Linked DNA regions of Elephas maximus indicus. The main gene of each other region encodes a partner of the protein of the gene in region 2 in a complex. Links are inferred from orthologs where the notes say so. Each region holds a gene or a part of one and is shown on either strand. Other genes may lie near its edges.

Region 1 (7,709 bases), on a different chromosome or scaffold from region 2:
GTTGTTTCACAAAGCCAAAAAAAAAAGTTTTTACAACCCCAAGGTAGTCATAAACAGATTTTGATTAACAGTTTTGTAAAACTTTAGCATTGCTAACAATATAAACTGACATAAATACCCCAGCTATGAAGAGTTCTGAATTATGAGGGCATTCTATAAAGAAAAACATTATCTGAATATGTAAATAATTATTACTGATATATCATTTACATATCATTTTCCGTTTACTCAGGTGAATATATTTTCGTGTTTTTAAAGCATCTTACTGCAAATTCGGTATTAGTAAACATTTAATCACTATTTGTAACTTTTCTGATATTAAACATTTCATAACTATTTTATTTAACTGACTCAGTTATGCACTGTGATGCTAACTCACAGAGGTGATTGCGTTTAATTCTGTTTCTTCAATTACATAGACCATAATTTTCGAACATGTCTTTAGTCTTTGGGAAGGTAGGTGGACTGTGGTAATCATATGGAAGAAGTCCTAGAAGAAGCTAGGTAATTTTGTTCAAACATCTTTATAGCTGTAAGACATGTGAGGATACACCAGACGTTGACAACATATAAAGCATCTTTCATTGGTGTCATTCACAAGCCACAGTGACCAGTAAACTGTAAGGTAAAACCACCAATAATAAACTCTTCAAATTCAGCTGGCACGAGAGCAGATCCCAGACTAAGGTGTGGTGTGTGAAGCACCTAGGGTGCAAAATTTAACGAAACATGCAACTTTCAGGATGCTAGTCCTTGCCCTGCACACGTGGTGTTTGCTGCAGAGGCCAGGGGTGCGTGATTTCCACATTCTTACCTCCGGTAGTTTACTGGGTTTGTTTGGGTTACCTCCGGTAGAAAGGATTTGCTCATCTCTAGCCCAGTACCCGAAGACTCAGCAATTCCTCTTGAGAAGCAGACCAGCTTAATCTGCTCTATTACTATCGCTAAAATCCTGCCTCCTCTCCCCAAAGTCTGTGTGATAATACCCAGCAGTCCTCCTCCAGAGTTGTGGTATTACAGTGGTTAAGTGCTTGGCTATTAACCAAAAGATTGGTGGTTCAAACTCCCAGCCACTCTGCAGGAGAAAGACGTAGCAGTGTGCCTCTCTAAAGATTTACAGCCTTGGTAACTGTATGGGGCAGTTGTACTCTGTTCAATAGGGTCGCTAGAAGCCGTGGTTGTGTGTGCTGCTAACCAAAAGATCAGCAGTTTGAATCCACCAGCCACTACTTGGAAACCCTATGGAACAGTTCTACTCGGTCCTATAGGGTCGTTATGAGACAGAACTGACTCGATGGCAAAGGGCTAGTCCTACTCACAGTACTAGAGCCCTGATGGTAAACACCACTCCAGTATCTCAGGCCCTGTTATCTTCTGACACAATTCCTGAGAGAAATCACCTACTTAGATTGCAACATCACCCTTGATTCATCTCATTATTTGGTCCGAGGGCCCACCCCACACAGTTCCCAGTGCTGTCCGCTTGCTGAGGCTGCCCTTTGGCCTGTTAGTCTAGGTTTCTTAAGAGCCTGTGGCTCGGTCTGTTCCCCTTCAAATAGTTCCCAGTTAGTCCTACCCCATCAGAGTTAACAGAACCATCCAATCATTGTAACAACCAAAAGCACTTCCATGTTTTTTCCAAAGCATCAGCTGGGGACAGCACTTCTCCAGTTGAGAATCACAGAGGGAAAAGAGAGGACGTACCTTCAACAAGAAATGGGCCAACTATCTCAGAGTCTTGCTCTTTCCATCCCGTTGGTTCATAAACCTTCTGTCAAAATCATCTGGGGAAACTTCTGATTTACTTATTTAACACACAATTATATAGTGCTTACTCTTAAATTATTATAAACACACTACAAATATTAGCTCATTTAATTCTCATAGCAACCCTATGAGGTAGGCCCCCATTCTACAGATTACATGCAGAAGCTAAGATTGAAATGCAGGCATTTTGCGTGTGAGGTATATGGTAAGGACTGCTCTATGCAGCAGACATCCAGATCCCATCCCCAAAGATCTGAGTCTACAAATCTGGGAAAAACACAGTGAAATTTGTATGTATTTGAACAAAACTTTCAAGTTATTTCATATAGTGAGAAAGGCATCCACCCAGTAGCATCACTAGGGTTGGTGTCACCCTCCATACTAATTACCGCAATATTGTAGCACATGATGAAACCATGTGATTCGAAGCATCATTATAATTAGGTAATAATGACAGTTCTAACTGGAGCACATTAGAAGATTCAAAAAGTAAATTAGCATAGAATATTAGTCTTGTAGATATACTGATACATGAAGCTGAGTCTAAGAAAAAAAGTTTTGTTGTTATAACTACAGGAATATTTTTATAAAAAAATAAATTTCTAGTGAAACACTGCACAAAAATTTTAGAGATGGTTATTTTGGTGTCACTCCCTCTGACAGTGTCTTCTGGTACAGACCACACCCCGCCCCACCTCCTTAGTGATGTCACTGCACCCACCTACTGACTAGTATTTGAGAACCACAGGACTATACCACATGTCATTTAGAAGAGACAAGACAACGACTTATGTGGCTAGAAAGGAATCTCTGTGTTGGAGTACAATGAGAAAGCAAGGAAGAATGGGGGGCGGGGGAGACTATTAATTCAGAAACTTGGAAGCCAGGCTAATACGAATCAGTTAAAATATATTGAGAACATAGCATCAGGGGAGCAGTACAAGTATCATTAAAAAAACCATGAAATTATCCTATTAAGAACGATACATGACAGCAATGGTCTTAAGTGAAAGATGCATGAAAAAAGAACAGCCTACCTAGTTGTGTGATGGGCTACAGATGGGCAGATGTTGACCGATCAGGCATAATAAATGTACAGACCAGTCCTTTCTTAAACAAAAATTAGTAAACCAGTCTAATTTGTCCAAAAACTCACCTTAATTATGTGAACTTGGATTCTTAAAAAGTTTCCGACCTAGCAGCTTTTATATCAAGGACATGTTTTTTAAAAGTCTAGCACAAAGTATTAGAAATTCAGTGTCTTTTTATTATTTATTTTTTGTGAATTTTGGGATTATAAATTTATGTATCACTACAAACCAGTCAGAACTGACTCCTTTAAAAGCCATTATAAGTATTAACATCCTCCAGAAGTAGGAAAACATTTTACATTTACACAATGAGATATAAAGGCTTTTTTAAACTATAGACCCACAGACACATGAAGAGCTTACAGCTTCAGTTGTGTATCCTCAATCCCCAGTGGAAAATAAACACAGAAACACAAAAGCTAATCAACCACCACAGCTGTTCTCCTTCCCACTGAACACAAAACTGTTAATTTGAGCTCACAAGAAGACAACAACAAAATAACCTGTAATGTCTCTTCCAATAGAAAATATACCTCCCATCACCTGACGTATCACTAAATGGTGAAATCATAAAACCAAACTCCCAAAACATTACCGCTACTAGTGTTAAATGACTTATCAGCCAGGCACAAGTAAGAAACACACACACAAGTTTAAATAGGAAGAGTGGGAAAAAAAAAATTAGAGAGTAAAGTTAGGTCTATAACCAATTGGGATTTACTTTAAAAGCTAATAAAGACATGACTGGGCTTAACCCATGAGGTGCACTTCTTCAGTGATACAATTTATTTGGCTCCACAGGTGGTCCCACTTGGGTATCTCCATGGAATCTCAAGTTTCCAATGGTAAAGTGTAATTTTCAAAAGTATAACACCATGACCCTCATGAAAATATAAAATGAACACATGTCAAAGTTTTATTCAATTCATTAATTATATAGAGAATTGGGAAGACATTAAAACCAATTCAAAGAGCATTTGGGATGCTGGGGATGTATTACTAAAATTATGTTAGAATACGATCATAGAATTAGATACAAAACCGATTAATGTCTAACTGAACAATAAATCATAACCTCTGGAGTAACCTGGTCCAACAGATACCTGACAAAACTCCACAAGTTAAAGTCTGCCCCTACAGAATTGTACAATAATACGGTCAATAAAAAGGACAAAACAGCACTGAAAGAACACTCAGTAATCTCTTTTGCCTATTTCCAAATTTTTGATAATTTTTCTCACAGGAGTGAAATATTAGAAATATTGCATGGGACATATATATATAATAAAAATTACTGTTTTATCTGAAAGTCAAATTTAACTGTGCCTCTTTTTTTTTTCCTGTATTTTACCTTGTAACCCTGCTAACGAGTTAACAAAAATTTTACCGAGTTTGTACAGTTCCGCTGTCAACCTTACAGCTCTTACATCTGTGCCTCACGTGCTACCCCCCGTAGATAATAAAAATTTAGCGGTATTCCTATTCTTTATATTTACCACTGGGTGACGCTTACAACCCGCAGTAAACCCACTGGTATGGAGTCAATTCCAACTCATAGCGACTCTCCACGACAGGGGAGAAACGCCGCAGTCTACTAGGGGAGAAAGAGTGAAGAGTCCTCAAAAGCCGCTTCTACAACCCATCCCCCAAGGTAGACTTGAAGAAGCTCTCAGATTTCACAACCAGGCTCTGTTGGCGCGCGCCGGAAAAGGTTCAGCGAAACCGCCGAACTACGCCCAGGCCAGACCCAGACTGCGCAGGCGTTCGGGTTAGTGCGCAGACGCTGTCAGCAGGACTCACGGGAAGCGGAAAGGGAGGGGGTGGAGCCGCTGAGGGCGCGCACGCGCAGAGGTCGGCGGCTGCCTCCAGCTGGGGCGCCTGAGGTGTTCTGTGCTCCTCGCCTCGTGCGTTCCATGGAGATGCCCAGCTCCCGGGCGCATCCGGAGGACAGCGCTGAGCTGGTCCCTTCCGACAACTCGACCCCGCACAAAGAGGAACTTAACAGCAAGGCAAGTGTGGACGCGGGAAGGCTCACGGGCCCCGGATGGGGCGCCACTGGCCCCAAAGATGGTCCGCCGCGGCTCCTTCGCTCCCCGCGTGCTTGGCCATCCTCGGTCCCTGGTACCCGGTGGGTCAGTGTCAGTGCGTGACTCGTCGGGCCTCGGCTTTGCCCAGCTGGTGTGCACTTTTTACTCATGGCACTATGTGCAGCTCTATACACTTTGCAGCTGCCTTCTTTTAAACAGTTGTAGTAAGGGAGACACTGAAAGTTGCTCCAAGGTTAGACTTAGGTAGCAGTGGGACGGAGGTTTTTAAAATTTTTCACTTTACCTTTTAAAACTTTTAGAAAGACCGCCCTCCTCTCCTAGATGTTCTATTGCCCGTATTCTCCATCTCAGAAAACGCCACCACCGTCCGTCCAGTTGGCTATGCAAGTAACAGGCGAGCCATCCTTGACTTCCATCACAACGTCCTGTCACTTCTACCTCCGAAGCCCCTGGACTCTTAACCACCGTCTACCCTGCTATCAACCCAGACCAGCCACTATCGTCTCTCATTGGGACTCTCTCAAATCCTTCCCAACTGGTGTTTCCCCATCCACCATTACTTTTTTCTAATCTATTCACCATTTAGCAGCCAGAGTAATAATCCTAAAACATGTATCTGATTGTCACTCTATTTTTAAAAAAGGGGGGGAGGGGAGGCAATATAAAAATTTCGTGCAATAGACAAAAGCTTTAAAAATATGGGGAGAGAGCAGTTACAGCTTTTCAGATATTAGGTATCCTTTGCTTCTGTCCCAAACTAACAGTGACATCTTGGGCAGGTCTCTTTAATCTCTCTCCATCATATTTTCCTTGTTTGAAGTATGTAAGTGAAATTTATACCTGCTTTCCTAAAATGAATAGGAAAAGTACTGTTCAGACATAACCTATTGTTATTACTACTTTCATCCCAGGGAGGTCATATGAATTCAACCTTGGTATTCAACCTGATCGAGTCAATTACTAGAACCTTGATTATCAGCTAGGGAGACACAAAGGTGCACACACATCGGGGGTAGTTTTTTAAACTACACAGCATGTTCCTGTTACTACCATAGCAAGTCCCTTAAATTAATATATGATATTCTCCAGGTGTGTGAGGTAGAAAAAAAGACCGTGAACAATAATTTTAGAGCCACTAGCGTTTGGGTAGCGAAACTGTCAGGTTGTCAAAATAACTAGTTATTTGCTTAGTTTTCACTTAGCTGAATGCTCCCATGCTAGTATAAAGCAAAGCCTCTTTCAGTAGTGCCAGGACTGTGCTAGTCTTTGAAATACAGAAATGAATAAAGCAACAATGGGAAGTGATAGGTCTTACTGCCACAAGTAGGGCATTTAGCATTACTTGCTTGTTTCAGATGTCTAGCTACACCATTTAGTTCATAAATCATAAAAACCACTAATAATTGAAAAAAGTAGCCCACCCCTTATCCCATTCAGAATTAAATAAAAAATATAACACAGCTTGTGAGAATTAATTGAAAAACTGTTAATACTTTTGGTGCATACCATATGCTTTTAATAGAAGATATAAACCTTGTTTGGTTACCGTACCACTTGGTGTGTATTCTGGCTACCAGCAACCCTTGGCCAGTCTAATCACTGCTTCCCCCTTCAACTTTCCCCCACCTCCATCCCACACAGACTTTGCGAAAAGAATCTGTATATTCACAGACTGCCCATTTTGAAAATCACTACATAATAGTCCCATATTCCATTTCTGATTCTGAAACAATTAAAGGACCATCTTTGAACATACCTTGAGAACTCCTGATTTAAGGATTTTTTTTTCCTTTATTTCTATAGATTAAAGAACAAAAAATTGTTGTAGATGAACTTTCTAACCTGAAGAAAAACAGGGTGAGTTATTAGAGTAATTGGTTATATTTTATTAAAAATTACATATATGGTTTATATAAATCTAACGTTAAAATGTTTAGGATTTCAACATCTTTTTAGTTAACAAATTGCAAAAGTGAAAAAGTTTTTTTTAACGTGTGTGTAATGTTGAAAATGGTTTTCCCCCATCATGTGGTAGGGTCGGAATCAACTTGACGGCAGTGGGTTGGGTGGGTGCTATCCACATTACTTTTGGACCAAATGATACTAAGGGTACTGTAGTTTACTGCTGTAATCAGTAATAGTATTTATTTTATACTTGAATTTGATATTTTCTTTTGTAATAAATTAACTTTAAATATATGGAAAAGAGAGGAAACTTTCTATAAATGAATATGGATAATTGTTGAACAACAAAAAAAAATGATAAAATTGCCACCCCCCAAAAAACAATAATAATAACCTCAATCTTTGAAGTGCTTAACACGATTTTTAAATGTATTCATGAGCAAGCTGCCAAAGTTACCAAAAATTACATTTTAAAATTCAGGAGGAAATTATTTTAGCTCCTTAAAGGATTTAAAATATTATTTTATAACAGGTTAGACATTTCTAATATTGCCTTTTGTGGAATATTAGAAGTTAAGGCGCAATTGAAACGAACTTTCTAGATGACAGATTGGCAGAGCATATCAAAGTCTTAAAACTGTAACAGCTTGACCCAGTAGTATCATTTCTAGGAATTGATGCTTAGAAAAGAATCACGGGTGTGCACAAAGATTTAGTTACAAGGATATTTCATCACAACATTGATTTTATAATAGTGAAAAGTTGGTAACATCACAAATGTCTTAAGATTTGGGAACTGAGCAAATAAAACTAGTATTTTATATCCATACAGTAATACTGTAAAAGAATACTTATTAACATAAGAAAAGGTGTTCACAATGTAGTATTTACTGATAAA
Region 2 (7,416 bases):
TCAATGGCATACACTACTAGCTGGCCATCAGTAAACCATCCCAGAACACTGCACAGCAGATGGAAACGCTGCATATGAAGTTGAACCTATGACACAAGTTCCTTTCAAGTGCCTTTTGAATCTTGAAGAGTAAATTATTTTATCACTTAGTGTTAGTTCACTTTAAACATATTCTATAAATGGACTACCAATCATATATTTTACAATATTTGACTATAAAGGAGCAAAGGTAGGAAAGTCACATTCACAGGGTGGCTTCATGCTAAGGGGAAACCTGGTGGCATAATGGTTAAGAGTTACAGCTGTTAACCAAAAGGTCAGCAGTTTGAATCCACCAGGTGCTCCTTGGAATCTCTATGGGGCAGTTCTACTCTGCCCTGTAGGGTTGCTATAGGTCAGAATTGATTCGGCTCCAACAGGTTTGGTTTTTGGTTTTGTGCTAAGGACTACATGATACCAGGTTTCTCACACTGAATTCATAATATATGACTGGCTAGAAGGTTCATTTGCCTTGTCTGAGGGAAGGCCACAGTTCTCTCTGGGCAGTGACCACACATGTACTGTATTGACAGGGCCCAAGAACACATCCTTTCTTCTCTACCACTAGGTAGCTCCCTGGGATGGGGTCCACATCTTCTTGTCTCTTTCTTCCCTATGGCCTATGGAGAAGTACCTTGGTCCTCTCCAAAAATGTGTTCAAGGAATGTGTGTGGGTGTGCTATATTCCATTTCTGGCTCAGTTGGCAAGGCAGTGCCCTTAACAGAGCCTAGAAGCTCTTTTTCATATGCTGTATTTCTAAGACGATAAAAGAGCCACTATGGTCTGTTCACAGAATTCTGTGATATCATAATCCTCAGCATCAGAGCTCTTTGGGAAACTCAAAAAGACAGAAAAGGGAAAGACTTTCCAAATCCTGAGTATATACTACTCTTCTTTACAGACTAGATCCTCTTCCATTTAATCTTCCTTAGTTTAAGCTCCAGTTTCTCTCCAGTGAGACATGTTCAATGAACCTTAAAATTTAAAAAGAACTGGAAGAACCTCAAAATATCACCTGGTCTCATTTTTCAGATGTGGACATTGAGCACCAGGAAAGATGCTGATATGACCAGGTAGCTGAGAGAAGTCTTCAGATAACTACTAATTCAATAAATAAATACCGAGCCCCTATGAGCCAGGTTCTGGGTATGTAATAAATACTAGTCCTTACTGTCACAGTGGTATGATGCATCAGTGAAGAGCACGGATTCTGCAGTAAGGTAGACTTGTTTAAATCCTTGCTCTACCACTTACTAGTAGTGACCTCAGACAAGATAATTTACCTCTATGAACCACAATTTCCTTTTCTGAAAACGGAGTCCTTAATAGTTAATGGCATACAAGCTAAAAGATGTCCGCAACTTATTTGAAATACAAAGATGGATTGGTGGATGGACAGACGAACGGATGGGCAGATGTGTGAAAAAGCAATATAGTAAAATGCTAATTGTAAAATTCAGGCACATAGTATTCAATGTACAAATCGTCCAACTTTTTTGTCTGAAATTTTTCATAATAAAGTGGAGGGAAGGCAATTAATACTAGGTTTGAAGTGGTAAACAAGATAATGGAGATAAAACTGCTCAGCACAACGCCTGGCACATAGAAAGTACTCAACAAATGTTAGCTATTTGCAGTAGCAAGTCCTCAGTAAGCTGAAGCTGGATAAAGGCAAGTTTCAAAATCATCTTGACCGTGTCAGTGTTTGCTTTTTGGAAAGATGATGCTCAAAATGGAAACTAGAGGCTTTTCTTTGGCCCTTTTATAGCACAATCAGGCTGTGAAGCAAGCCTCTTAACCTCATATTTAAGTTCAGGTTCTTGTAGCTGCCAGGCCATGACAATGACCTTAGAGCAGGCAAGCTGAGACGAGGGCTGTGTGATCAGAGAGCACCGATTTGGGAGTCAGACATACATTCGGGTGCAATCTCAACTTTACCATTACTAAGCTGAGTGGCAAGTGGATAGGTGAAGTGACCTCTCCTGCCCTCAATTTTTCCATCTGCCAAAAAAGAAGAAAAAACAAAGGGCTCGAATAGTGTGTGATTACGAGCTAAGTGAAAGGTTTTGGCATCACAGCCACTTAATAAAAGTGGACTTAGTTATAATGGTCAAAGGAGATGCCTGGAGGGGCTTGCTTATAAACCAGATGGCTCCTCTCCATAACTTCCACTCCCTCCCTCAGCTCCCAGCCCTTAGGAACCTAAAGGGACTTTTTTAAGGAAAGTCACTTCCTCGCTTAAGAAAAATCCGTAGCCTCCAAGTGCATTCACAATAAAATCCAAATTCCTCACCATGGCCAACGAAGCTCTGAAGTAACTGACCTCTGCCTACCAAAATAATTTTTGCTTACTGGTTTATACGTTTATCGTCTTGTAAGCTCCACGGGAGCAGGAACGTTATCTATCTTGTTTCCAGGTGTATCCCAGGGTCACGAATGGAACCTGGCACGTATTAGGTGGCTCAATCAAATACGTGCTGCTTCAAAGGGTCGAATCTAACACTCAACAGTCCCCCTGTAGAGTTGTTACCGGTTCTACTGGGACCGTCCCTCTCCCAGCCCAGTGTCGTGCCCCTCTTGATTCGCGTAGCCTATACCCACAGCCCTTAACGCAAATATCGGGCGAGACCCTCAGCGCGCAGCCCAGCCCCTTAGGCGCCCCCCAAACCCTTGAGCTCCCCCAGCTCAACACCGTCTACTCCCCGGCTCGCGGACCACACCTCTCGCGCGTTTTCCTGGCCCACCAGTCCCGAGGCCGCCTGCTTGGCCAAGCCACTCTCGTCCAACCCCAGCCCCTTCACGTGGCTGTGGGAGGCGATGCGCTGCGTCTTCGTGGTACTTTTCACCTCCTCAATCTTCATCTTGCAGACTCGGGGAGTCGAAAAACAGCAGCGAGTACCACGCGCCAGGCGCTCGGGTTACCATGCGGCCGTTACTAGGGCGGTTCGCAAGCGCCCGCCTTGGTCGGCGCTCTACTGGAGGAGGTGGGATACACCTCTACTTCCCATTGGCTCATCAGGGCTGCCCGTGGGGCTCCGCCCATCCACTTCCGGCTGTGTCGCTGGATGCGTTCCCCGGCAGTCGGCGCTTCCTGCCCAGGCCAGGGGCGGGAGGTGCAAAGAACCCGGAGTTGGGTCCCGGATGCCAGTTCTAATCGTGTAACCCTATCACGGCGTACGGTAGTCGCTGGCGGTTTTCGGCTCCCGGCGTCGCAATTAAACGTCATACCTTTATGCGAGGCTCGTACCCGTTTTGGAGATAGAGAAATTGAGGCTCAGATTTTAAGCTTTAGTTTTTGGTTACTATCCAGTTTTCTGACACCTAATCCATGCTTGGAACCCCTGAGATGCACAAATGGTTAAGCGCTGGGCTTCTAACCAAAAGAGTAGCAATTGAGTCCACCCAGAGGCTCCTGGGAAGAAAGGCCTGGTTATCTGCTTCCTAAATATCCCACCAAAAAACAAACCCATTGCAGTTGAGTTATCACGACTCACAGCGACCCTATATTGAAAATCTAATGGGGCACAGTTCTACTCTGACATACTTGGGGTTACCATGAGTCAGAGTCTACTCAATGGCAACTGGTGTAATGCATACTTTACTTTGCATCTCTGTTCAGGATCATCTCCGTGAAATTGTCTCCCTCTGCTTCTGCTCACCTCCACCTCCCCCTTTATTCAAATTAAGTTGATGGTGAGTAACATTTTGCAGTTTGCAAAACTCTGCAGCCCTGCGATGTATCACCCCTAATACAGAAAAAGATTCAGGCTAAAAGAGCCCCAATAACTTGCCCGAGAACACAGCAAATAATTGGCAGAACTGGAACTCCAGCTGAGGATTTCAGAATTTCAACCTGTGCAATCCTCTTCCCACCCCGCTACTTCAGCCAGGACAATTGGTCAGGGAGAATGTCCTGTCAAATTCCGTAATGATATTAACACTACCTGCACCAGACATTCAACACCTTCAGTGAGCCAGACACTACAACGCACTGGGGATATAAAGACAAAATACAAGATCACACCCAAGGACTTTACTCCCTGCTTGGGAAGTGAGATGTGCTGGGACAGGTACAACTCAGGTGGTATGCAAACCCAGAGCAGGGGCTCCTGAACAGCCTGGAGACCCAGGGAAGTGCTGAATCCTGTAGAATGGGTAAGACTTCCTCAGAAGCAGATGGTATGCCATCATTTTACAGATGAGGAAACTGAGGTCCAGGAAAAGGGCAGCACTTCCCTGAGTTTAAGAGAGCTGTAGTCAAATTCAGCTGTAGCAGTCCCCAAATCTCACACCTCTTTGTACTTCTCCTTCATAATTTTCAAATCTAAGTTTGTAATTATTTGCATAATTATTGGGTCAATATTTGTCACTGCCACCAAACCTTAAGCATTATGAGAGTATAAACCACATTTGTGTGCCCATCATTTTACCCCAGTGCCTGGCATACAACCTGGCTTACAATCAAGGCTTTGAATGAATTCAAATAAAGTTCTAGCCTCCCTCTCCCCCTCCTATACACACACACACACACACACACACACACACACTTGAATTCATGCAATTTTGATGGATGTATTTTACAAACTTGGTTTTATGGCCCTTGGTAATGGTTTCTGCCAGCAAATGGGGTCTTCTGGCACTTTCAGAGCCTGAAACTGCAAAGGTGAGGCCTTGGAAGGCTGAGCTTGTCACTGTTGGCCTGTGATTCAGCAACCCTAAGGATATCACCCCAGAAAGCCCACAAAGATGCTTAGTGTCTAATTGCTGTACTCCTAGTCATTACCCTTAAGTGAGGACCAGTTCCTTTGGAGAAGGAAGTTTTCCCCTAAGCAGTAGTCAGAGTGAGGTACTCTGTGAGACTACTTCTTTGCATATTGTCCAGTTGGGGGAGAAGATCTTTTTACATTTATCCTTTTAAGCGCCAATTTTGTCTCTGCGTCAATAAGCAAAATGAAGGATTGTCTTTCAGTCAAATATTGGTGGAACTAAGGCTCAATTTTAGAGCTCAAAGGAATCCCTTGGACCACTGGTCCAGTGGGACCCCAGAGTTATAGAGTTCTTTCTCGGCTAGTACGGGAGGGGAAGGGGAAGACCGATAGTGCAGATAGCTCCATGCCCTCCTCCCCCTTCCACCAGAGCTTTTCCATCTATTTACTCCTAGACAACAAATTGAAAACCACTGATCTGGACTAGCATTCTCATTTTTGGACCCAAGAGAGGCCTGGGTTTGCCCCAAATCACAAGGCCTAGAACCCATATCTCTGCCTCCCAGTGTGAAAAGATCTAGACCTGGTTTCAGAGTTAGACCATTTATTTTCATTTCAACAGACGACCATGTGGCAGACCGGAGCCTAAGATACACAAGGTAAATGAATATGAAGAGCAGGTGAAGCCCACAGTAGTGGATACAGGTTACTTCTGCCTACCCAGCATCCATTACCTTGTGTTCTGGTCTCTGTACCCTAATTTTCTTTAGGAACCCCCCTCCCCAACTTTTTGTCCAAGGAGTTTGGGTAGGCTGATCCCAACCTGCCCCAGCTTCAGATGGGATACTATCAGAGTATCCCATCTCCCTGGCCCTATTCAGGAATGTGAGCTAGTGGTTCAATGACACTAAATCCCAGCACTCTTACTGGAAATATAAAAACATGTTCTCTTCTACACGGGTTTTCAGGCTAGTAGCTGTCTTTGCCAATTCACGGAGACACCCAACTTGAAAATGAAGACAAGAGAGAGGAAAGCAAAGCTGAGAGAAAGGGATTCCGGACAAAATCCTTTGCATCCCTGGATCCAGCCTTGCCTTACTTGCAGTGTAACACGGTACTTACTTTGGGGCCTAAGGTTGTTTGAGTTAGATTTCTGTCCAGTGCCACTGAAAATCCGGATGAGTGCAATGACACATATACAAGCAAGTGTGTGGACTATTACGTTCCAGAAATTGTGCCATGTGATAACCAATCCTGCCAGCTCTTTCATTCCCTTACTCCCATGACCCTTGCTCTTTGACTTCCAGTCCCTCAACCTCTATTTTCTCCAGTCCAAACTCCATCATTTCAATCCACTTCCCAACCCTTCTGCTCCCTCCTTGCCTTGACTTCTGCCACACCTGCCCTTTGAACTGTCAAGCATATGTCAAGTCTACCTCTGTCTTCTCCCTTCCTTGAGGGGGTTGCTGGGAATGGCTGGAGGAAATCACCCAGTGGCCCCCTGAAGTCATTACACAGTCATGGCTTCCGGCCTCAGCTGAGCCCTCAGAGCTGCCCAGGGTTGCGTTATTCAGGATATGAGTTCTGTTGCACTAACAGATCCAAAACAATAGCAGCTTAAACATAAACGTAAGGTTCAGGAAGGCCTTCCAGTTGATGTGCTGGCTCCACAATCATGAAGGACCTATACTCATTCTATCTTGTTGCTGCACCACTCCACACATGCCTTCCATCTCGTGATCCAAGATGGTTGTTCCAGCTTCCCCCAAAAGGCTGTATTTGGGCCAGAAAGAATGAGGAATGGGGGAAATGGAGGACTTGTTCCTTCCGTTTACCCTTGACCTTGAAGTTGCACCATCATATCTACTCATAGTCCATTGGCAGAACTTGATCAAATGGCTACAGCTAGATGCAAGGGAGGCTAGAAAATGCAGTCTTTATTTCAACTTGAGCCCAGCTAAAAATTCTAGTCCTATGTAAAAGGGGAAAAAGTAGATTGGGAGACAATTTCTAGTCTCCACCCTAAGCTGCTTCTAAGTGCCAGGCACTGCTGAACTTTCCTTGTATCCTGTCTCAAAGGCAGGTATGACCTTCCTCCTGGCCAAAGTAACCCTACTAACTGGGTTCCAGACGACAACCTGGAACTTCCTCCACCTCTCAGAGGCCTACCTCCACCTATTACCTTCTTTTTCCTGTATTTTCATACATTTTCCCTGATCATTCCCCGTAGGATATAACTTGTTCAATATTTCCTTTTTACCTCCCTACCCCCTCTCAGGACTGTTTTATCATTTAGCTTCCCTTCACAGGAAAGTTCTCCACTTATTGACTTCCCTCCTCTTCCTCCCAGTCACTCTTTAGCCCGATGAAACACGGCTGTCACCCCTGCTGCTCTCTCGAATCTGCTATCTTGAAAGTCAAGGGTGACTTTACAAGAGCCAAATTCACCAGACATTTTCCAAGCTTACAGGCCCTCTGTGCAACGTCTGACACTACTGACCACTCACCATATCTAGAAACTCTCAATTCATTTACCGGTATCAGTTAGGAATGCGTTTGTCTTCAAGCAACAGAAAATCAGACTCACAGTGGCTTAAGCAAATAAGGGGGCTGTTTCCATGCAACATGAAATACAAAACATACATGCAGGGACCACTTCTTTCTTCCTAC
Region 3 (7,130 bases), on a different chromosome or scaffold from region 2:
ACTTTGAAAAAGGACCCATGGTAAAAGCTGTTTTTGACCCTAATGGTGTTTGAGAATGATCCTCAACAGCAGGGCCCGTATTTATGCAGTGAAGGGACACCTGGGCTATTGGGAAAGGATTCCAGTAAGTTGTCCTAAAAGTTAGCAAGGAGAAGACAGGAAATAGTTTTATTCATTTTTTTCAGTTTTCAACTCCCTCATCTTTCATTGATAAATGCCATCAAACTCAAAAAAAAAAAAACAACCTTGTTACCTTTCTGGAACAGCCTAGCTTTTCGGTGTTATTTGTTCTAATAATGAGGCCAAACAGTATCACCCAGAATATTACATCCTTGACAAAATGTTATTTCTCCCTGCCATCCTGGTAGCATTTTTGTGGACTTTTCTCTATTCTTGGAGGGGAGAGGAGGGCTTGATCCCCCATTAGGTTACTGTTATAGCAACAAAACTTCCTGGTATGGGCCTAAAAGGACTGAATCTTAAGGAGGCAGGAGACCCTGCTCTATTTCCCAACAGCAAAAATATGTTTTAAGTATTTTGAGGGCTAAAAATTAGCAACACGGAATGCCACCTTCCCCATCTGAATATGACTTTGACGTAATTATTTCAGTGAGCAGAGAAAGCATCATCTCTCCCCTAGAGATGGAGAAACCAAGAGCCAGAGGCTATGGATGATTTGCCCAGGGTCACACAATTAGTATGTGGCAGAGCTGTGCCTCAACCCTAAGTCTTCTTACTCCCAGTCTAGCTGAGTGGTGGAAGGGTTGCTAGATTTGGTGTCAGAAACCAGTTCTACCACTTAAGTAAATCACTTCACTGCTCTAAGACTTTTTTTTTTTTTTTTGCTAATTTGGATTCTAGAACAATACAATCCACCTTACAAGTTTATCGGAAAGAGTGAAGTAAATAAAATGAAAAGTGCTTTGTAAACTGTAAAGAGCTTTACAAACGTAAGAGACTGTTATTATATCACGGCGGAGGAAGGAGAATTTGCAAAAAGGCACTCTCTCCTCCAAATCCCCAAAACGGGCAATGCTGCAAAGAAATTACTACGTAAAAAAATGGGAGGTGGGAGGCAAATCCATTTCTCCAACTCAAGACATAAAAAAGTATTCTAAATGTGTGCTTTTGAAAGACTGCATTCAAGTTTGATTTTGCTTTTCCCTGAAGCCCCTGAAGAGTAGATCCTAGAAAACTTCAAGTTTTCTCTGGGATGACCCTGATAGCAGCAACTATTTCCTCCTCCCCGCACCCTACCAATTTCAGGGAAAGAAAAAAAAAAGTACATAAATATCTTGTGTCCCACTCTGCACGCAGCAGCCCACCGGCCAGAATCCTACTCATCTTCTACGGTGCACAGGCACCACCTCACCCGTTAAAAATACATATCTCGCATATTCCAATTCTAGGGCTAACAGTATTTCAGGCGCTGCGCACCAGCAAGGCAATTAACACTTTCCCTTGAAACCTTAAGTCCGAGGCTCCTCGCGGGCCACAGTCCCCGCGCGCGCTCGGGCCGACTGGGAACCCTACATGGTGCGTGGACGCCCCAGGGAAAGGGGTGGTTTGCCGGGCCGCGTTCCCCTCGCGCCTCCGCCGGGGGCTGGGAGCGCTGGGTGAGGCCGAGGGGCGCCTTCGCAAAGGAGGCGGGAACACCTCCCGCCCGCCCCCCGATAGCTGACGACCCCGCCTCACGTGGCCCCTCCCAAGCCCGTCTCTTTAACTAAGGCGACAGTAACTAGAGCGCATCTCTGAGTTTCGTCGTGCCCATCTTTAAGGCACAAAACTACTACGACCCATTTGTTGAGTTTTGTGAACCCATCTCCGCGGATCAAATTCAGAGTTGCGGCCACTACGCCACTAGACACCGAATGTCGTTACATCGCGGTGTAAAAGCCGGGGGTGTCCTCCTCTCCTTTGGAGGGAAGAAGGGGATTCTTCCTCACGACCCCTCCCCACCTCCGGTCACTGCGACGAGTCCCCAAACTTACCCGCGGTCCGACTAGCCCGCGGCTGACCCAGATTCCTCCAGCCGGCGGCCGCCGCGCGCCCCATCCCGGGGGAATGGGCGCCGCCAGGAGCTGGCGGTCCGCGGACCCTGCGAGCGACCCCAGCCCTCGACCAGCGCGAAGTCAGGCGCCAACCGGCCTCGAGGTCGGGGCGAGGGTCTCTTGACCCCTCCGCCCTCGACCCCAAACGAGTTGGCAGCACTGCAGGAAAGTTGGACTAACTTCTCAGGCGGCGGCGCCTGCGGCAGGGGCGAGTGGACCGGGGGGTCGCGCCCACGCCGCCTGCCTCCAAGAAGAGGAAGGCGGGGAGCGACCGGGCAGAGGGGCCCCCACCACCTCGCTTCCCTGCCCCCACGAGGGCAGGAAGCCCAGCTCACCGAGAGTCGAAAGGGGCTAAGCCCCTACACACACACAAAAAGGCCCCTAGAAACTTAAACCCTTCGCCATTTTAAGAAAGAAGATTTTAATGATTTAAAACTTAAAATTAAACATTTCCTCCAGCCCTAACCCCAGATGGGGGTTAATTTCCTACCTCTCCCTACACACCCACTCGGACCCCTAGAAATTCGACCCTCCGAATATGGGGTTGGTGGGGAAGGGGAGGGGGCTGAGTCATCTCACCTCCTCCGGGGCTTTGTTCCTTAACTCCAGGTTAATCCTCTTCTTCATCTCCATGTCCTCCACCTCCTCTTCTGCCACTAGTCTCCTGCCTTCCCCTTTCCTGCCTTTCCCCACCACCCCCAACCCTAAAATTTAAAAAGGTTTGAAAATGAATGAAAAGAAACGCAAATATAACGCCCACCGCCACCAGATAGGTGTGGGGGGGGGGGAAGAGAATAGCAAATGGAGTCCAAGGAGTTGGGACTCTAACTCGGCTGCCCCCACCTCCTTGTCCACACACTCGCGCGCGCGCGCACACACACGCACACACACACTCACACACCCGCAGTTCCTTCCCCTTCAATGGCTGCTCGGAGACTGAGCCTCCATGACACGGCACCGCCAACCCCCTAGCCTACACTCCACCCACCTCCCGAACGTATTGGTTGCTTCTTCAGCATCACACTATTCCGTTGGGCTACGTAATTGTCTATCAGTCTTCAGGGCGGACCTGGACCAGAAACTCTGTGTCTATTGGATACGACCAAGCGCGCAGTTAACTCCGATAGGCCCAGGAGAGTGTCCATCCCAGAAAAATGGTTTTGAATCCCAATAGCCCCCCCCTTTTCTTTGTGTGGTTGGCGCGCTTTCCCCAGGCGCTGGGACGGTTTTGATGCCTGTTGGATTTGTTTTTTTGCTTTTCTGTTTTTAGTGTAAAAGGGAGGGAGAAAGCATCCTATCCCAAGCTACGACACCGATAATTCACCACACACGCACCGGCTCTTGGCCGTTTTAAAACACAGGCCCTGCTTTGCTGCCAAAGTGCACACACCAACGTGCACATCACATTAAAAGCATGCCTTCGTGGCACTGCCCTGCCGGGAACAGGCTTCCCACAGAGACTGATGTTCCGTGGTGCAGAACCAGGATATAGATGGTATTTTAAATTCCATCATGAGGGACTGTCTGATTTTGAAAGCAGTTGGGTGAATAAAACTACCTTGGAGAATTGTTACTGAGGTTAATTGTTGCTTTAATAAACACTGGGACCTTGGAAGTGAAAGAAAGCTGGCCTAATAAAAATCGAACATCGTTTCGCACAGAAATGGCTCTGCAATGCTTCTCCTAATTCCCTTTAGTTGGTTTCCACGGAAATCTGTAGGTAAAGTGTACTTTTAATGCGGAATATAAAAGAGTGGGATAACAATTGTTTTTTTCTTAAGGGTCTAATTTTTCTTAGTTCTTGCTTCAATTCTGTCCTTCTCATTCGCTTACACCCTTTTCAGGATAAACACCCAAAGAAGTTCCAGATGATTTGGGGAGGGAGGGCGGAAGTGATGAATTACCCCCAGGCCTCCCAGAGCTGGGTTTTTATTTGCAATTTTTCCAGTCTCTCAGGTTAGAGACCTTTGGCTTTCCATACACAGGTTCCTCACCACTCTACCACAGGCTGTCTTTCCCCACACAGAGACAGGCATTCCCTCAAATAGGTTTACATTTAAAATGTAAATATTTGGTATTTGGTGTGTTAAATACTTCAGGAGGAAAACAAAATGGTGGTTTTCTTTTTAATGACAAATGTTTCCTTTGAATTCCCTAAAAAGGAAATTTCGTGAAGGTGAAAACAGAGGCTCTTCTAAAGAAGTAGAGAAGGAGGGCTTTTTGGTATAAAATGACATCTCTGGAGGCCATTTGAAGAGTTAGTTAAGTTTTGTGTTTGTTTTAATGCAGGCGAAAAGAAGCCAAAATGATAGGAAAACTGAACCAAAATGAACTGCGGAACAGTTCAAGGAAGAGTTAAAAACCAAGGGAAGAAAAAAAGACCTAAAAGAAACCTGGAAGCAAATTTTAGTACCAGTCCTGAGTTCTGACCCGCCTGCCACTGCATTATCCTGTTTTCTGCAAATTATTTAGCTTCTCTGGTTCTGGAACAGAATCCAAAAGAGACTTCACGGAAGGAGATTGATATTTAGGAGCCATCCACATACAAATGATAGTTGAGACCATGAGAACAATTAAGATCTCCACAGAGAATGTATATAATAAAAAGACTATCAGGCCAAGGAGAGCAAAAACATGGTTGAGAAAAAAGAAGAAGAGGGGGGAGGTATTGTCTACCAAAGCAGACATTTATATTCAAAATGTAAACCAAAAAAACCCAAACTGGTTGCCATCAAGTCCATTCTGACTCATAGCAATCCTATAAGACAGAGTACAACCGCCCATAGGGTTTCCAAGGAGTGGAATTCCTGGTGGATCCAAACTGCCAACTTTTGTGTGTGTGTATGTGTGCTTTAAGTGAAAGTTTACAAGTCAGTCTCTCATACAAAAATTTATATACACCTGGCTATATACTCCTAGTTGCTCTCCCCCTAATGAGACAGCACACTCCTCTCCACCCTGTATTCCCTTGTCCATTCAGCCAGCTTCTGTCCCCCTCTGCCTTCTCATCTCCCTTCCAGACAGGAGCTGCCCACTTAGTCTTATGTGTCTACTGAGCCAAGAAGCTCACTTCTCACCAGTATCATTTTCTATCTTATAGTCCAGGCCAATCCTTGTATGAAGAGTTGGCTTTGGGAATGGTTCCAGTCTTGGGCTAATGGAAGGTCTGGGGACCATGACTTCCGGGGTCCTTCTAGTCTTAGACCATTCAGTCTGGTCTTTTTACGAGAATTTGAGATCTGCATCCCACTGCTCTCCTGCTCCCTCAGGGGTTCTCTGTTGTGTTCCCTGTCAGGGCAGTCATCTGTTGTAGCTGGGGACCATCTAGTTCTTCTGGTCTCAGGCTGATGTAGTCTCTGATTTTTGTGGCCCTTTCTGTCTCTTGGGCTAATAATTACCTTGTGTCTTTTGTGTTCTTCATTCTCCTTTGCTCCAGGTGGGTTAAGACCAATTGATGCATCTTAGAAGAACTGCCAACTTTTATTGAGAAAGAGGTGAATTAAAAAAAAAAGTTGTGGAAGCCAAGGAGTTTGAAGAAAGAGATGGTTATTGCAGTTAAATGGTAAGGCTTTTGTATTGGACCACATGGACAGAATGGGAAAGTATCCTGGAGATAATGTGGGAAAGGTTAAGTCTCTTTGTCCATTTGGATTTAGGTCTTCTTATTCATTTAAGGAGCCCTGGTGGTGTATTAGTTAAGAGCATGGCTGCTAACCAAAAGGCAGGCAGTTCAAATCCAACAGCCACTCCTTGGAAACCCTGTGGGACAGTTCTACTCTGTCCTGTAGGGTCACTAAGTGTAGGGATTGATTCAGTTTTTTTATTGTTTTGTTTATTCTTTTAAAGCTGTTTTAGTAACGTTTGTTGAAGAAATGGAGGTAAATATGTGTTTTAAATTCCCCATGTTTAATCGGAAGTTTCAAGGAATTTTTTAAATTTCTTTTGAGACAACTATTTATTATTCTATTTAACTTCAGCTCAATCTAGCCAATGACTTTGGCACAAAATGCCAAAAACAAAGTCTTAGTAATCAGAGTTGAATGTAATCCTACATTCAACTGTTGAAATATATTGAAGTTTGATAGAAGGTGTAAAATGGTCCATTTAATTAAGGTTTTCCCTGCGTAGTAATTTCAGCTATTTTGCCAAGCAGAAAGAGCAATTCAATACTTTATATTAGAATACATTATTTTAATATTATACTTTCTCATCAAATGATGAGTTTACTTTAAATTTTTTTATCGTGGTAAAAAATATGTAACAAAACAGTTGCCATTTCAACCATTTTTATGTGTACAATTCAGTGACATTAATTACATTCTCCATGTTGTGCAACCATCAGAGTTTACTTTTAATATGTCTTTAAAGAACTTGCTACAGTCACTAATGTAGACTTTACTCGCCTTTAAGCCAAATTTTCCCCCAAATGAACATATCTCTCACTTTAGACTGAGAGTCCATGAGAAGATGGGATTCATTGCACAGAAATTTAACCATGATACAAGTGAACTTTATTTCTGTGTGATGGCTAATAGGTCATGAGGGAGAGAAAAATACTGAATTTTTGCCTAGACTTGTGATGCCACTTGTAGGGTCCTTTGTTTATGTCTCAAAAGGAAGAAGAGTGACAACTCGTGAACATACCATTGGAGGAATGTAACCATTATGGAGGGTAAATACAGCATGAACCATAAAAAAGTACATACCCTAAATTAAAATCAAAATGAGATACCACTATGTATCTGTCAGAAAGGCTACTTTTTTTGTTGTTGTTTTTTTAACTAACAATACCGAATGCTGGCAAGAATGAGGGGCAACTGGAGCTCTCACACATTGCTCGTAGGAGTGAAGAACAGTACAACCACTATGGAAAATAGTTTGACAGTTTCATACAAAATTAAACATATACTAACATATGGCTTAGGAAGCCTGCTCTTAGGTATTTACTCAAAGACAATAAAAATGTATGTCCACTCAAAATAATTCTATTATGAAAACATTCTGCATCCCACTTTGAAATGTGGCGTCTGGGGTCTTAAAAGCTAACAAGCAGCCATCTAAGATGCATCAACTGGTCTC

The links. Proteins that work in one complex are often made in the same cells at the same time.
Region 1: RUVBL1 (region 2) and ASDURF share a complex: the UniProt entries of both Homo sapiens proteins name them as parts of the PAQosome complex. The link is inferred for Elephas maximus indicus from reciprocal best matches to the Homo sapiens genes RUVBL1 and ASDURF.
Region 3: RUVBL1 (region 2) and ANP32E share a complex: the UniProt entries of both Homo sapiens proteins name them as parts of the SWR1-like complex. The link is inferred for Elephas maximus indicus from reciprocal best matches to the Homo sapiens genes RUVBL1 and ANP32E.

Annotation. Positions count from the first base shown.
Region 1 is NC_064824.1:87,826,466-87,834,174, forward strand, and holds the start of ASDURF (ASNSD1 upstream open reading frame protein), read left to right. Parts: upstream 1-4,701; 5' UTR 4,702-4,771; coding exon 4,772-4,867; intron 4,868-6,709; coding exon 6,710-6,763; intron 6,764-7,709.
Region 2 is NC_064838.1:42,480,574-42,487,989, reverse strand, and holds the start of RUVBL1 (ruvB-like 1), read right to left. Parts: upstream 3,004-7,416; 5' UTR 2,902-3,003; coding exon 2,761-2,901; intron 1-2,760. UniProt on the Homo sapiens protein: Possesses single-stranded DNA-stimulated ATPase and ATP-dependent DNA helicase (3' to 5') activity; hexamerization is thought to be critical for ATP hydrolysis and adjacent subunits in the ring-like structure contribute to the ATPase activity.
Region 3 is NC_064821.1:184,387,913-184,395,042, forward strand, and holds the start of ANP32E (acidic leucine-rich nuclear phosphoprotein 32 family member E), read right to left. Parts: upstream 3,009-7,130; 5' UTR 2,685-3,008; coding exon 2,631-2,684; intron 2,482-2,630; exon of another isoform or gene 1,992-2,481; intron 1-1,991. UniProt on the Homo sapiens protein: Histone chaperone that specifically mediates the genome-wide removal of histone H2A.Z/H2AZ1 from the nucleosome: removes H2A.Z/H2AZ1 from its normal sites of deposition, especially from enhancer and insulator regions.